Linked DNA regions of Ovis aries. The protein of the gene in region 1 purifies or fractionates together with the protein of each later gene. This does not show direct contact. Links are inferred from orthologs where the notes say so. Each region holds a gene or a part of one and is shown on either strand. Other genes may lie near its edges.

Region 1 (5,794 bases):
AAGGACTGATGTTGAGGCTGAAACTCCAATACTTTGGCCACCTCATGAGAAGAGCTGACTCATTGGAAAAGACCCTGATGCTGGGAGGGATTGGGGGCAGGAGAAGGGGACGACAGAGTATGAGATGGCTGGATGGCATCACCAACTTGATGCACATGAGTCTGAGTGAACTCCAGGAATTAGTGATGGACAGGGAGGCCTGGCGTGCTGCGATTCACAGGGTCGCAAAGAGTTGGACACGACTGAGCGACTGAACTGACTCAATTATTCTACTTTTATACACACTTGGAAATGTTCATGTAAAGAAAAGACAAGACTCCAAAAGCAGATGAGCTCCACAGGGACAGGGCATGTACTCGTAGAGCACCTGGGTGAGATAGATCTGGCTGCCTTAGCTGAGAGCCTGGCTGGTTGAGAGTCCTGGTGAAAGGAGGAAAGGCAGGCAATTTTAGGAAGAAGCAAAGGTGCATCCATGGTCGGTGTGAAGCCTTGTCCTCCCTCTGCCCCTCACAGATAAGCTCGCACCAAGTCCCCATATGCCCTTTGGCAAAAACCCCATCCCACCCCAGCATCCCAAGGGCCCCAGGAGGAGGCACCTACCCAGGATATGGGGCAAAGGGACTTGTACACACGCCGGTACCATTCGCACACAGAGACGTCACCCCCTTTAGCAGTCATTGCCTTCTCACAGCGGTGAAAGTCTGTGAAGAAAAGGGATCAGGGTCAGCCCAGACCAAGAGCTGGAACATATTTCTGATCAAAACTCACAGAAATACTTTTTACTTCACAACCAGTTACACGAATCCCCCACACTCCCAAGTTTCACAAAGAAAGTATATCCTTACAAGTGTAGTACTAAAAAGGGCTAGACACACCACACTAAGCTTATTTTGCAATCCATAAAGTACTACTGTCTGGGACTTCCCTGGTGTTAGGAATCCACCTTCCATTCATTACAGGGGACCTGGGTTCATGCCCCGGTGGAGGAACTAAGATCCCACAGGGTAACGAAGCCTAGCCTGTGCACCACAAAGGAGACCCGGAGTAGCCAAGAAAAAAAAGAAAAAGAACTACTGTTCAACTTGGAACTTCTGAGTCAGGAATAACAGGGCAACCTGAGAGGTGTGTGTAGGGATTATGGAAGTCCTGAACCAGGACAAGGGAAGGGCAAGATGGTCTTGATGCTAAGATGCTGGCATCCAGGAGAGGAGAAAGGAGGGGGATAATCTGGTTTTTAATAGTAGGAAATTAATTCAAAGATTATTCCAAGTATTACACTCCTGGGCACACTCCCTAAGAGAGAAAGCATTCACAAAGACATCAAATTACATCAATCATAGCAGCATCATTCATATGAGCCCCAAACTGGAAACCACACCAGTGTTCATGAATGAAATGTTGGAAAACTGCACACAATAAAAATGAGAAAAATATATGCCACAGCATGGAAGAATCTTCATAACTATTGAATGAAGAAATCCAAGCATAAGACAACACACAGTATTTCTAAAGTTCACAAAGAGGCAGACCTGAAAGTGGTGATAAAACCAAAATATGACTGCCCTAGGTCTGTGGGGTTACAACTCTGGTGGGGAGAGCAGAGTGTTGCTTTCAAGAGACGGCATGCAGCAGACAGGGGAGCTCAGGGGACTGGCAGTATCCCATTTTCTATCCAGATTATAATCACATGGAGGATTCAATTTAGAGTTATTGATTTAGCTGTACATTATGGTTTATGTACTTCCTATAAGCATGTTACATTCCATACAGATAGACATATACACATCTTGGGGGGGGAAATGACTATGGAATCCAAAGTTTGTGACCTTAGGTCAAATCTTGAATACAGGAGGTGATGGGTGGCATGGGCCCCGTGAAGTAGGATGTTCAGAATTAAAGAGAAGAGGCGATGAGGAGGTAAGAGGTAAGTGTGGGATCAGGGGAAGGTCAACATTGCCCGCCTCCTCCCCAAGTCCTGCTCACCCAGGTAGTTCTGCCAGCAGTTCCTGGTCTGGTTCTGGTTGGGGAAGCGGCTGTCAAAAGGAGCAGTCTGGTAGTTCTTGATTTTGGTCTGGATGTCTTCTGCCATAGTGTCAGCACTCCTGGAGGGAAACAGAGTGGATTGTGGCAGAGGTCCTGGGGGCCTGGACAGGGGGCTGTCAGCCCACCCAGGCCCAGTGGAGACCTGACAGAGAAGAATGGGCTGGGTGTGAACAAGCCAATACCCCCTCCCTTTCAACATACAGATAGAGGTGAAGGGCTGGGCAAGAACACATTAGTTATGGAAGTCACAGCAGGATGTGTCGGGGTAGACAACTGCTCGGTAAAAAAAAAAACAGGCCAAAATAACACTAGTTGATATTCACTGAGTGCTTATTATAGGCAAGGAAGCTTTACTCCTAAAGCTACTCTAAAAGACAGGAACTATTACTATCACTGCTTCACAGACAAGAGACAGGGTGTTTAAGCAACTTCCCAAGGTCATACAGCACACATGGAGTGGAGGTGCACTCCCACCACTAACATAACCTACACTGCAAAGGTTCTTAATCTCTATTGGTGCCATGAAGTACTCAGGAGTCTAATGAACCCTTTCTCCAAATATGTTTCAGGGCATTTAAAAATGGCACAGGATCACAAAGAAAACCAATTACATGTAGCTGAGGATTTATGAACTACCACAATTTCAAAATAATCACGCCTGAATAGGGTCATGCTGTGAAATCTGCAAACATAATGGGATATATGATATGATGACCTGTCATTTTCACTGCTGATAAAGTCACAGATGATGCCAAATACTACCGCTACTGCCTCCATTCCCAAGCGAAGGAAGAGAGTTCAATGAGAAACTGGCAAAAATACAGACGTAAATTTCCCTCCATTCACGTACTAGCATCCCATGAGTTCCATCCATTCTGCGGGCCTAGGGATAAAAACCTGTCCCATAATCTTTTATGAGGTGACAAACGGTTTTCATTAGGAAATCTGACACCGCCTCTATTCCAGATTATTCGAGGAGTCGTGGTATTACATATAAGTTAACCAGACCAGTAATAAATTCAAGTGACCCAAGGTAGTGGTAAGGATTTGGGGCACCGGAGTAGTGTCTTTCCGGGAGCAGAGGATGTAGAACACTAGAGGCGGGGACAGACTCGGTCGGAAGAGTTGTTTTGAAAGCCATCTCCACCTGATTTCGGGAGTAAGGATGGACTGGGGATGACGCTGCAGCCCCTCGAACGTGCAAGGGGCAGGGGGTGAGGGTGGAGAGTCACCAAGAAGCCAGGCCAGCCAAGCCTCGGGGGTCAGAGACCGGGGAGAGAAACGCCTGCGGCCTGGTGATTAAGAGCAATGCAGTCCTAATGATTTCAAATCCTGATCGCTAGCTAAACTGCGTAGTATCTAAGCCTCAGTTGCCTCCTAAAAGAGATAATCACAGGCCCTATCTCAGAGAGTTGGAGGGAAGCTTAAATGAATCAATATAAATCGCTTTGAAAGTTCTAGACATCCGAGAAGAACCAAATAATCGTCAGATTGAAACGACCCCAGGGCTCCGGGAGGTCAGCCACCGCAGGCTGGAAACCTCATTTCATTTTCTAGTAGGGATCCTCAGTCCTCCAAGATGGGGTTCCAGGGTCCCAAGCCCTCAACACTCACCTAAAGATGCCCCTGAAGTCGCTGGAAGCTCAATGTGACCCTCAGCAAAGACGCCAGTACCGGACCGGAAGCGGAAAAAAGGTCGGCCGGAAGCGGGACGGAGCAACGCACAGAAGAGTCTTCCGCACGGCCAGAGCGCCGTCCCTGAAGCAGTTCGGGCCACGCCCATATTGCAAATTCCAACCTCCTATTGGGCCGAATGCCTGTTCATCCTCATTCTGGGCCCAATCGTAACCTTGCGTGGCACTTGTTAGGTACCTTTCCGAGCTGTTGCAAGCTGTGGGCTCCGTTCCAAGGTATTGACCCGGCCTGGTCAGCTCTCTGTCTTTAATAGAGAAAGGGGTTCTGGTTCCTGGAGTTGGCTGTTGAGTGGTCCTGCGGAAAATAGTCCAGCAGAAATGCTCTTATTTGTGCAAGAATTATTTATTGAATATTTTACCCAGTGCCAGGTGCTTCTATTGGTGGCTCGGAGGTTAAAGCGTCTGCCTCCAGTGCGGGAGACCCGGGTTCGATCCCTGGGTCAGGATGATCCCCTGGAGAAGGAAATGGTAACCCACTCCAGTATTCTTGCCTGGAGAATCCCATGGACGGAGAAGCCTGGTAGGCTACAGTCCGCGGGGTTGCAAGGAGTCGGACACGACTGAGCGACTTCACTTCAAGCATAGTTGAACTAAACACAAAAATCTCTGTGACTATTATGGGGCCAATTGTTAGTATGAAAGTGAAAGTGGCTCAGTCGTGTCCAACTCTTTGCGACCCCATGGACTTTCCATGGAATTCTCTAGGCCAGAATACTGGAGTGGGTAGCCTTTCCCTTCTCCAGGGGATCTTCCTGACCCAGGAATCGACTGTTGTCTCCTGCATTGCAGGCGGATTCTTTACCAACTGAGCTATCAGGGAATCCCAATTGGTAGTTTCAGTTCAGTTCAGTCGCTCCGTCGTGTCCGACTCTTTGCGACCCCATGAATCGCAGCACGCCAGGCCTCCCTGTCCATCACCAACTCCCGGAGTTCACTCAAACTCACGTCCATCGAGTCGGTGATGCGATCCAGCCATCTCATCCTCTGTTGTCCCTTTCTCCTCCTGCCCCCAATCCCTCCCAGCATCAGAGTCTTTTCCAGTGAGTCAACCCTTCTCATGAGGTGGCCAAAGTACTGGAGTTTCAGCTTCAGCATCATTCCTTCCAAAGAACACCCAGGACCGATCTCCTTTAGAATGGATTGGTTGGATCTCTTTGCAGTCCAAGGGACTCTCAAGAGTCTTCTCCAACACCACAGTTCAAAAGCATCAATTCTTCGGTGCTCAGCTTTCTTCACAGTCCAACTCTCACACCCATACATGACTACTGGAAAAACCATAGCCTTGACTAGAAGGACCTTTGTTGGCAAAGTAATATCTCTGCTTTTCAATATGCTATCTAGGTTGGTCATAACCCTCCTTCCAAGGAGTAAGCATCTTTTAATTTCATGGCTGCAATCACTGTCTGCCATGATTTTAGTGCCCCCCAAAATAAAGTCTGACACTGTTTCCACTGTTTCCCCATCTATTTGCCATGAAGTGATGGGACCAGATGCCATGATCTTCGTTTTCTAAATGTTGAGCTTTAAGACAACTTTTTCCCTCTCCTCTTTCACTTTCATCAAGAGGCTTTTTAGTTCCTCTTCACTTTCTGCCATCAGGGTGGTGTCATCTGCATATCTGAGGTTATTGTTACCTCTCCCGGCAATCTTGATTCCAGCTTGTGCTTCTTCCAGCCCAGCGTTTCTCATGATGTACTCTGCATTTAACTTAAATAAGCAGGGTGACAACATACAGCCTTGACGTACTCCCTTTCCTATTTGGAACCAGTCTGTTGTTACATGTCCAGTTCTAACTGTTGCTTCCTAACCTGCATATAGGTGTCTCAAGAGGCAGATCAGGTGGTCTGGTATTCCCATCTCTTTCAGAATTTTCCAGTTTATTGTGACCCACACAGTCAAAGGTTTGGCATAGTCAATAAAGCAGAAGTAGATGTTTTTCTGGAACTCTCTTGCTTTTTCCATGATCCAGCAGATGTTGGCAATTTGATCTCTGGTTCCTCTGCCTTTTCTAAAACCAGTTTGAACATCTGGAAGTTCACGGTTCACGTATTGCTGAA
Region 2 (5,955 bases), on another chromosome or scaffold:
GCGGGGAGAGGGAAGGTGCGGGGCGGTACACCCTCCCCGCTGTCTCACGGGCGGGTGACAGCGGTGACGGCTGACGCTCCGCACACACAGGCCCACGCCCGCTCCAGCACCCCACACTGGACCTCAGAGAAGGCGGCTTGTCCCACACGGCCTGGGGCAGGACTGGGGCCAGGCAGCTAGGGCGTGCTGAAGAACCTAAAGACCTCGGGGACTCCGGCCAGAGTTCAGAACACTCGAGAGCAGTCCACGGAAGTGCTGCACTAAGCAGAAGACAGAAGCTGACACGACCGCTCGGCTCCGCTCTGACAGTTTTGTTCACCAAGATCTCAGCCAGGCCCAGCCAGTGCAGAGGCTGGTGTCAGGCCCAGAGCCAAGGGGTCCAAGCCTGGGCAGTGACTTATCTTGTATCTCTAGCCCTGGTGCTCGATGGCCATGCTGGTTTAACAGACCAGCTGACAGGGCTTGACACGGTCTGCAGCAAGAGCACACGCACGGCCCTGCGCGAGAGGGAGGGCTGGCTTGGGAGGCGCTGGCTCCCGGGGCCATCAGCGTGCCAGAGGCTCAGGACGGGGGTTCAGACTGGGGCTCAAGCACACAACAGCTGCTGAGTGCACGCCTACCTCGGGGACCTGCCAGGCCGTGCTGTCGTCCAGGAGCGCATTCAGACACCTCACAGCCACCTTGCCCTGACTTCAGACCTCCTGCTCAGATGGCACCTTCCTTCATCCCTCCCCATCGCCTCTAACCCGCCTTCTCTCACCCACAATTACTTATCTGTTTACCACCCATCTCCTCGACTGACATGTCAGCTCCTCGGGGGCAAGGGTGCATCTGTTCCATTCACTGCAGTAGCTCAGAGCCTAGAACAGTGCCTGCGACACAGTGAGCAATCAGTATTTGCTGGAAAAGTGAGTGGGGAAATGAGCTCTGAGCTCAGACAAGAAGATCCCAGGCCCCGCTGAGTATGGAGGAGAGATGGCTATCACCATGAAGCAGGTCACAGGGACAAAAATAACACCTTGCTCGGGTGGTCTCATTTCCCCTAGAACACATCACCGCTTGCCACACCCAGCCTGCCCCCTCCACTGCCTCCACCATGCCACGGGGCAGACTACCCACCTGTGCCAACGGCCTCTGCCATGTGGTCAGGGCCGGCACATCACAGGTGCTCGGTGACTGTCTCCTGACAGAACAGGAAAGAGCGAGGCCAGCTGGAAGGAGGACAGCGACAGGGGCAGGGCGGCCCCGGGCCAGGGAGCCGGCCGGAGTCCATGCTGCCTAACGCCCTGACTGACCCCAGGGCTGGGGGGCGGACCCCTGAAGTCAAGTGCATGGGCAAGTGATTCCCTCAGAAGAGAGGGCAGCCGTGTGTACCGGTCCACTGGGTGACGCTGCGGGGAGTGTGGCCCATCTAATGCTCTCAGCCTGCTGCAACGCAGACAAGCCGGAAGAGGACAAAAGTACACCAGGGAATTTCCGAGAGTTTAGGATGTGGAAGACAGGAAGGCAGGGAAGACCTCACTGAGGAGGTGGCATCTGCACTGAACCCTAAAGGATGACGAAGCAGCCGTGAGAAGAGCCGGGGGAGGGACGCACCAGGCCAAGGGAATAGCCAGAGGCCGGCCTGGCTGCACAATGACAGGTGCGTAGAGACCAGCAGGAGCCAGGTCAGGCCTCAATCACACAGGCCTTAATCAGGAAGGAGCTGGGGTCAGTGCTCTAAGTCCCATGGGAAGCATAAGGAATCCATGGATAGAAAAACAAGAAGTTCGGGACTGAGGGGACAGTGGCGTGGATAGATAAAAACCACGCAAGGCCTAAAGGGAGTGCTTTTAATTCTTATCCCCAAAGAAAGAAAGTGATCTTTGATCCAGGAAAAGATATGGGTCTGAACACTTACCTCTGCTTCCCAGATAACATGTGACTCCTAGGAACCCACAAGAATGAGGATTATAGCCTCATTATACTCAAAAGACTAAAAAAAATCTGCTACACAAAGGAGTAAATTAGACTCAGGACGATGAAATAAAAAACTAGAGACCTACTCTCTAACAAACTGGTGAGGGCAGAGGACTTCTGCTCATGGCAGAGTTCAGTATCAATCAATGGGACCTGCTTCTCAGAGAGAGACATCACTGTGTCGTGGCTTTGCGGCCCAGGGAAGGAGGGTTCCTGAGGCAGAATGGGGTACTGGGAAATTGGTCACTCAGTCGTGTCCAGCTCTTTGCAACCCCATGGACTGTTGCTCTGTCCATGGGATTTTTCAGGTGAGAACGCTGGAGTGGGTTGCCCTTTATCAGAATTCCATGGACTGTATAGTCCATGGGGTCACAAAGAGTCGGACAGGACGGAGCCACTTTCACTTTCCTCCTCCAGGGGATCTTCCCCACCCTGTGACTGAACTCCAGTCTCCTGCATTGGCATCTGAGCCACCAGAGGAGGCCACTGGCACAAAGGCTTAGTATTTTAAACTGAGCCGTGAGCTGAAGCTTGACACACTTCTCCTAATTGAAGCATGACCTTGGGCAGGTCACCTCCATCTCTGGGCTCAGGATTTCCTGAAATAACTGAGGGAGCTGGAGTATTCACTAGAGAATTTCCTGGGACTTCCACTTCTCTCTGGAACTTCAGTCTCAGATATCCACCCTCCCCCTCACCCGGCATGGAGAAGGTGCTTCATGAATATCTGCGGAATGAATGAAGACTAACTTCTCATTTTACAAGACTGGACAACTGGGCCTGGAGGGCCTGGGTGTCAGCTCAGGGACAGTTCGTGGTTGCGCGGGGAGGCCCGCGAACCGCGGCCTGGAGACTTCCTAGGTGAGAGACCGCAGGCGGGGACCAACTTTTGTTTTTTTCTGCGGGATGTCTTCCCAGCGGAGGGCTCCCTGGAGTCCTCTGGGCACCAGACGGAGAAGCTCTGGAATCAGACCGCGGGCTCCAACCCCAGCTCCGCGAGTAGCCCGCCGCGTGGCTCAGCCAAGTCACCTCTGGGGTCTTGGTTTACTCTTGGGATAAGAGCAGGGCCTGATTTAGGAAAGTCGCTGCGAGACAGGCCACTCAAGGCTCCTGGCGCAGGGCCTGACCCGTGCCCGCCGGCGGCACTCCCACCGCCAGCGTCGCGCCCACCGAGGGGCGACCTTCCGGGTCAGTTAGAGGCGGTGCAAACGGGAACACGTGGTGCGTGGCGAGCGGCGTAGCAACATAATTAGTAATCAGCACATTTCCCGTTACCAGCCTCAGGCAGCGCGCTCGCGCCGCTCTAACCCCCGGGCCCAGTTTACGAGTCTCCCCACGTGCTGTTCCCTCCGAGGTCCAGGTTCGAGTCTCTCCGAGACCCGGGACAGCCTTACTGCTCCGTGGGCCTCGGTTTTCTCATCCGAAAAGTGGGGCTGGCGACCCCGCCGCCAACCCGCACCCTCCTCCCGGGAACTCGTGCCCCGCGCCCTCAGTGGGGGCGCTGCATGGACCGCGTGTCGCAGGGCCTCGGAGGCCGTCTCCACGCAGCCCGCCCTCCTACCTTCCTGCCGGCAGTAGGCCATGATGCAGCCCGGCGCTCCGACCTCGCGGCGGTCGCCTCACGCCGTGACCTCTCCGCGGCGGGGCGGGCGGCTCGGAGGCCCGCACGGACCCGCCCCCCAGGCCTGCCCGCCGCGCGCCTGCCTCGGCGCTTCCAGCTCGGCGCGCTCAGCCGGTAACTACATTTCCCGGCAGGCTGCGCGCCTCGCGGCCACGCCCCAGGCAGTAGGAACTACATTTCCCAGAATGGCTTGCAGTGCGCGGGCGCGTCTGTGAGGCGTCAGTGGGTGGCAACTTTCGGAAAGCACCCGACCCAGGACTACGTTTCCCAGGAGGCAGTGCGGCACGGCGAGCGAGGGCCAAAAGAGCCCGGGCTCCCTGGGCGGCAGCTCTGTGGCGCGTCCCGGGCCCTGGGTTGCGCCGCTGTCTGCCGCTCTCGGGCGGGCGAGAGGTCGCGGACTCAGTGCTGCGGCGTAAACCCTACTCCGCGCTGGGCCGAGCGAGGCGGGCGGCGACCGGGCCCCACCATGGCCGCGAACGTGAGTGTCTCCTGGTCCGCCGGCCACACCCAGGCCTCCCGGTCCTCCGGCCCCTCTTCCCGCGGGCGTGTCGCGGCGCCCTGCCGGGTGGTCCCCCCCGTCCACTCGCCCGCCTCCCTCCCGCACCCGTGTCCGCGCCTTCCGGCAGCTGTGCCGTCTGTCTTGCTCAGCCCTGCCCGACTCCTTGGGCCCCGCGGTGTTGGGGACCGGGCCTCTGGCCCGTGGCTCCGGCTCGGGGGTCCTCTGGTGCGGGGCGCCTCCGCGTAGCCCTTCTCTTCGTTCCCGGTTCCCTCCTGGACCTTCAGGGTTGTCACGTGTGCGGACTTGGAGGGCCGGACGGGGCCGCAGAGAGGTGGCCAGTCCACGGGGGCGGTGGGGAAGCCGATCCGCCCTGCTGGAGCTGTCCAGCGACGTGCTGTACGGGGCGGGCGGTGAGCTGCGTGCCCAGCGGGGTATGTAAGACCGGGGCTGTTATGATACAGGGGCGCAGGCCAGGTGGGGAGCGGAGACTTCAGGGCGGCGGGCAGAGGGGGGCATTTCCCTACGGCCGGGCGCTCGTCCTCCTAGCAGGGGTTTAGTTGCAGAGCCCCTCGCTGAAGGTGGTGCCCCTGGAAAGGCTGCTGGCCTCCTGCCAGCAGCCAGCCTTTCTCAGGAACCTTTCTATTTAAGCCAAACATTCATTCAACAAACCGAGGGGCACCTCCCACCAGGGTGTTGGGAGAAGGAGCTGGTGACTCAGGCTTCGCTCCTCTGTGAAAGTGTCTGGAGCCAGCTCGGAGCCCTGCCAGCCGGGGCACTCCCTCCCTCTTGCTTTGGTTGAGCGTCCTAGCCACTCTCCGCTGCTCTGTTACACCCTTCCAGGCTCCTCCTCTGTCCCCAAGCGTCCTCTCTGCCTTCCACACCCCCTGAGAAGCCAGGGCTTTCGTCACCCACAGCCCCAGTACACCCTGCCTGGTGTAGAGTTGTTTGGGAGGCCGAGAAGCCTTAAGCGGTGCACCTAGAGGTGGTCCCCCAGATGCAGGGTCTGCCAGGGGAGGCCTGGGCTGTGTCAGGAGACAGGCGTGCCCTCAGACCACCGCCACCATACCTTACAGATGAGGGCTTCCCAGCAGGGGCACGTGCTTGCCCAGGGCCCCACAGCCAGCTCGGTGGGTCATGGGAAGGTGTGACAGGCTTTGGAGTCAGGCCCACCTGGGGAAAGATCCAGATTCTTCCTCAGTAGCTATGTGACCTTAATTTCTTGGGATTTTTGTTTCCGCATGGGCTCGGTTACTGTGAAGTTTAAGGAAGACTCTGCTTTTAGCACAGTGCCTGGTGCACCGCAGGTGCTTACTATGTTAAAAAGCAGTTTATCTTCAGTCCTGATGGGCAGAGAATCTCGGATACATAGGGTCCTGATCTTTGCCAAAGAGTGTAGATGAATTTGGGTATCCTCTGGCACCAAACCTTCGTTGATTGACCCAGTACTGGGGTGCACATTTACAGGGACCAGAAGGCCCGGTGCCGAAGAAAGATCAGAAGATTGTGGGCTGGAGCAGGAAGGACACAGGATTCTTAATCACTCTAACCTCCATCCAGTAATGGAGTTACTGTTGACATCTGTGCTTTATAAATGAGTGAACAGGGTCAGAGGGGTAAAGCAGCTGACCCTGGGTTACACAGGAAGTGATTTTCAGGAGCTGTAGGTCAGCCCCTATCCCGCCACGCACTGCTCATCGCTTCTAAGCCTGGAGTAGGGCAGCGGGCAGAGGGGAAATCGCCGCCGCCCTCGTTTACTGGGAATCTGGCCTAGAAAGTGGGCTGGGTGTGTCATGCCAGCCTGAGGATCGCCTTCTTTCTTCTCTTCAAGGCCGTCTTTGAGCCGCTTATCTTGATGTTGGCTGTTACGGGTGGTTGG

Evidence for each region.
Region 2: the proteins of cytochrome c oxidase subunit 6B1 (region 1) and CHCHD4 purify together in Homo sapiens (co-immunoprecipitation; 3 studies listed by BioGRID and IntAct, with this or other methods). This does not show direct contact. The link is inferred for Ovis aries from reciprocal best matches to the Homo sapiens genes COX6B1 and CHCHD4.

What each region holds. Positions count from the first base shown.
Region 1 is NC_056067.1:45,680,985-45,686,778, reverse strand, and holds the start of cytochrome c oxidase subunit 6B1, read right to left. Parts: upstream 3,730-5,794; 5' UTR 3,658-3,729; intron 2,103-3,657; 5' UTR 2,090-2,102; coding exon 1,984-2,089; intron 702-1,983; coding exon 601-701; intron 1-600. UniProt on the Homo sapiens protein: Component of the cytochrome c oxidase, the last enzyme in the mitochondrial electron transport chain which drives oxidative phosphorylation.
Region 2 is NC_056072.1:58,006,026-58,011,980, reverse strand, and holds the start of CHCHD4 (mitochondrial intermembrane space import and assembly protein 40), read right to left. Parts: upstream 3,690-5,955; 5' UTR 3,543-3,689; coding exon 3,521-3,542; intron 1-3,520.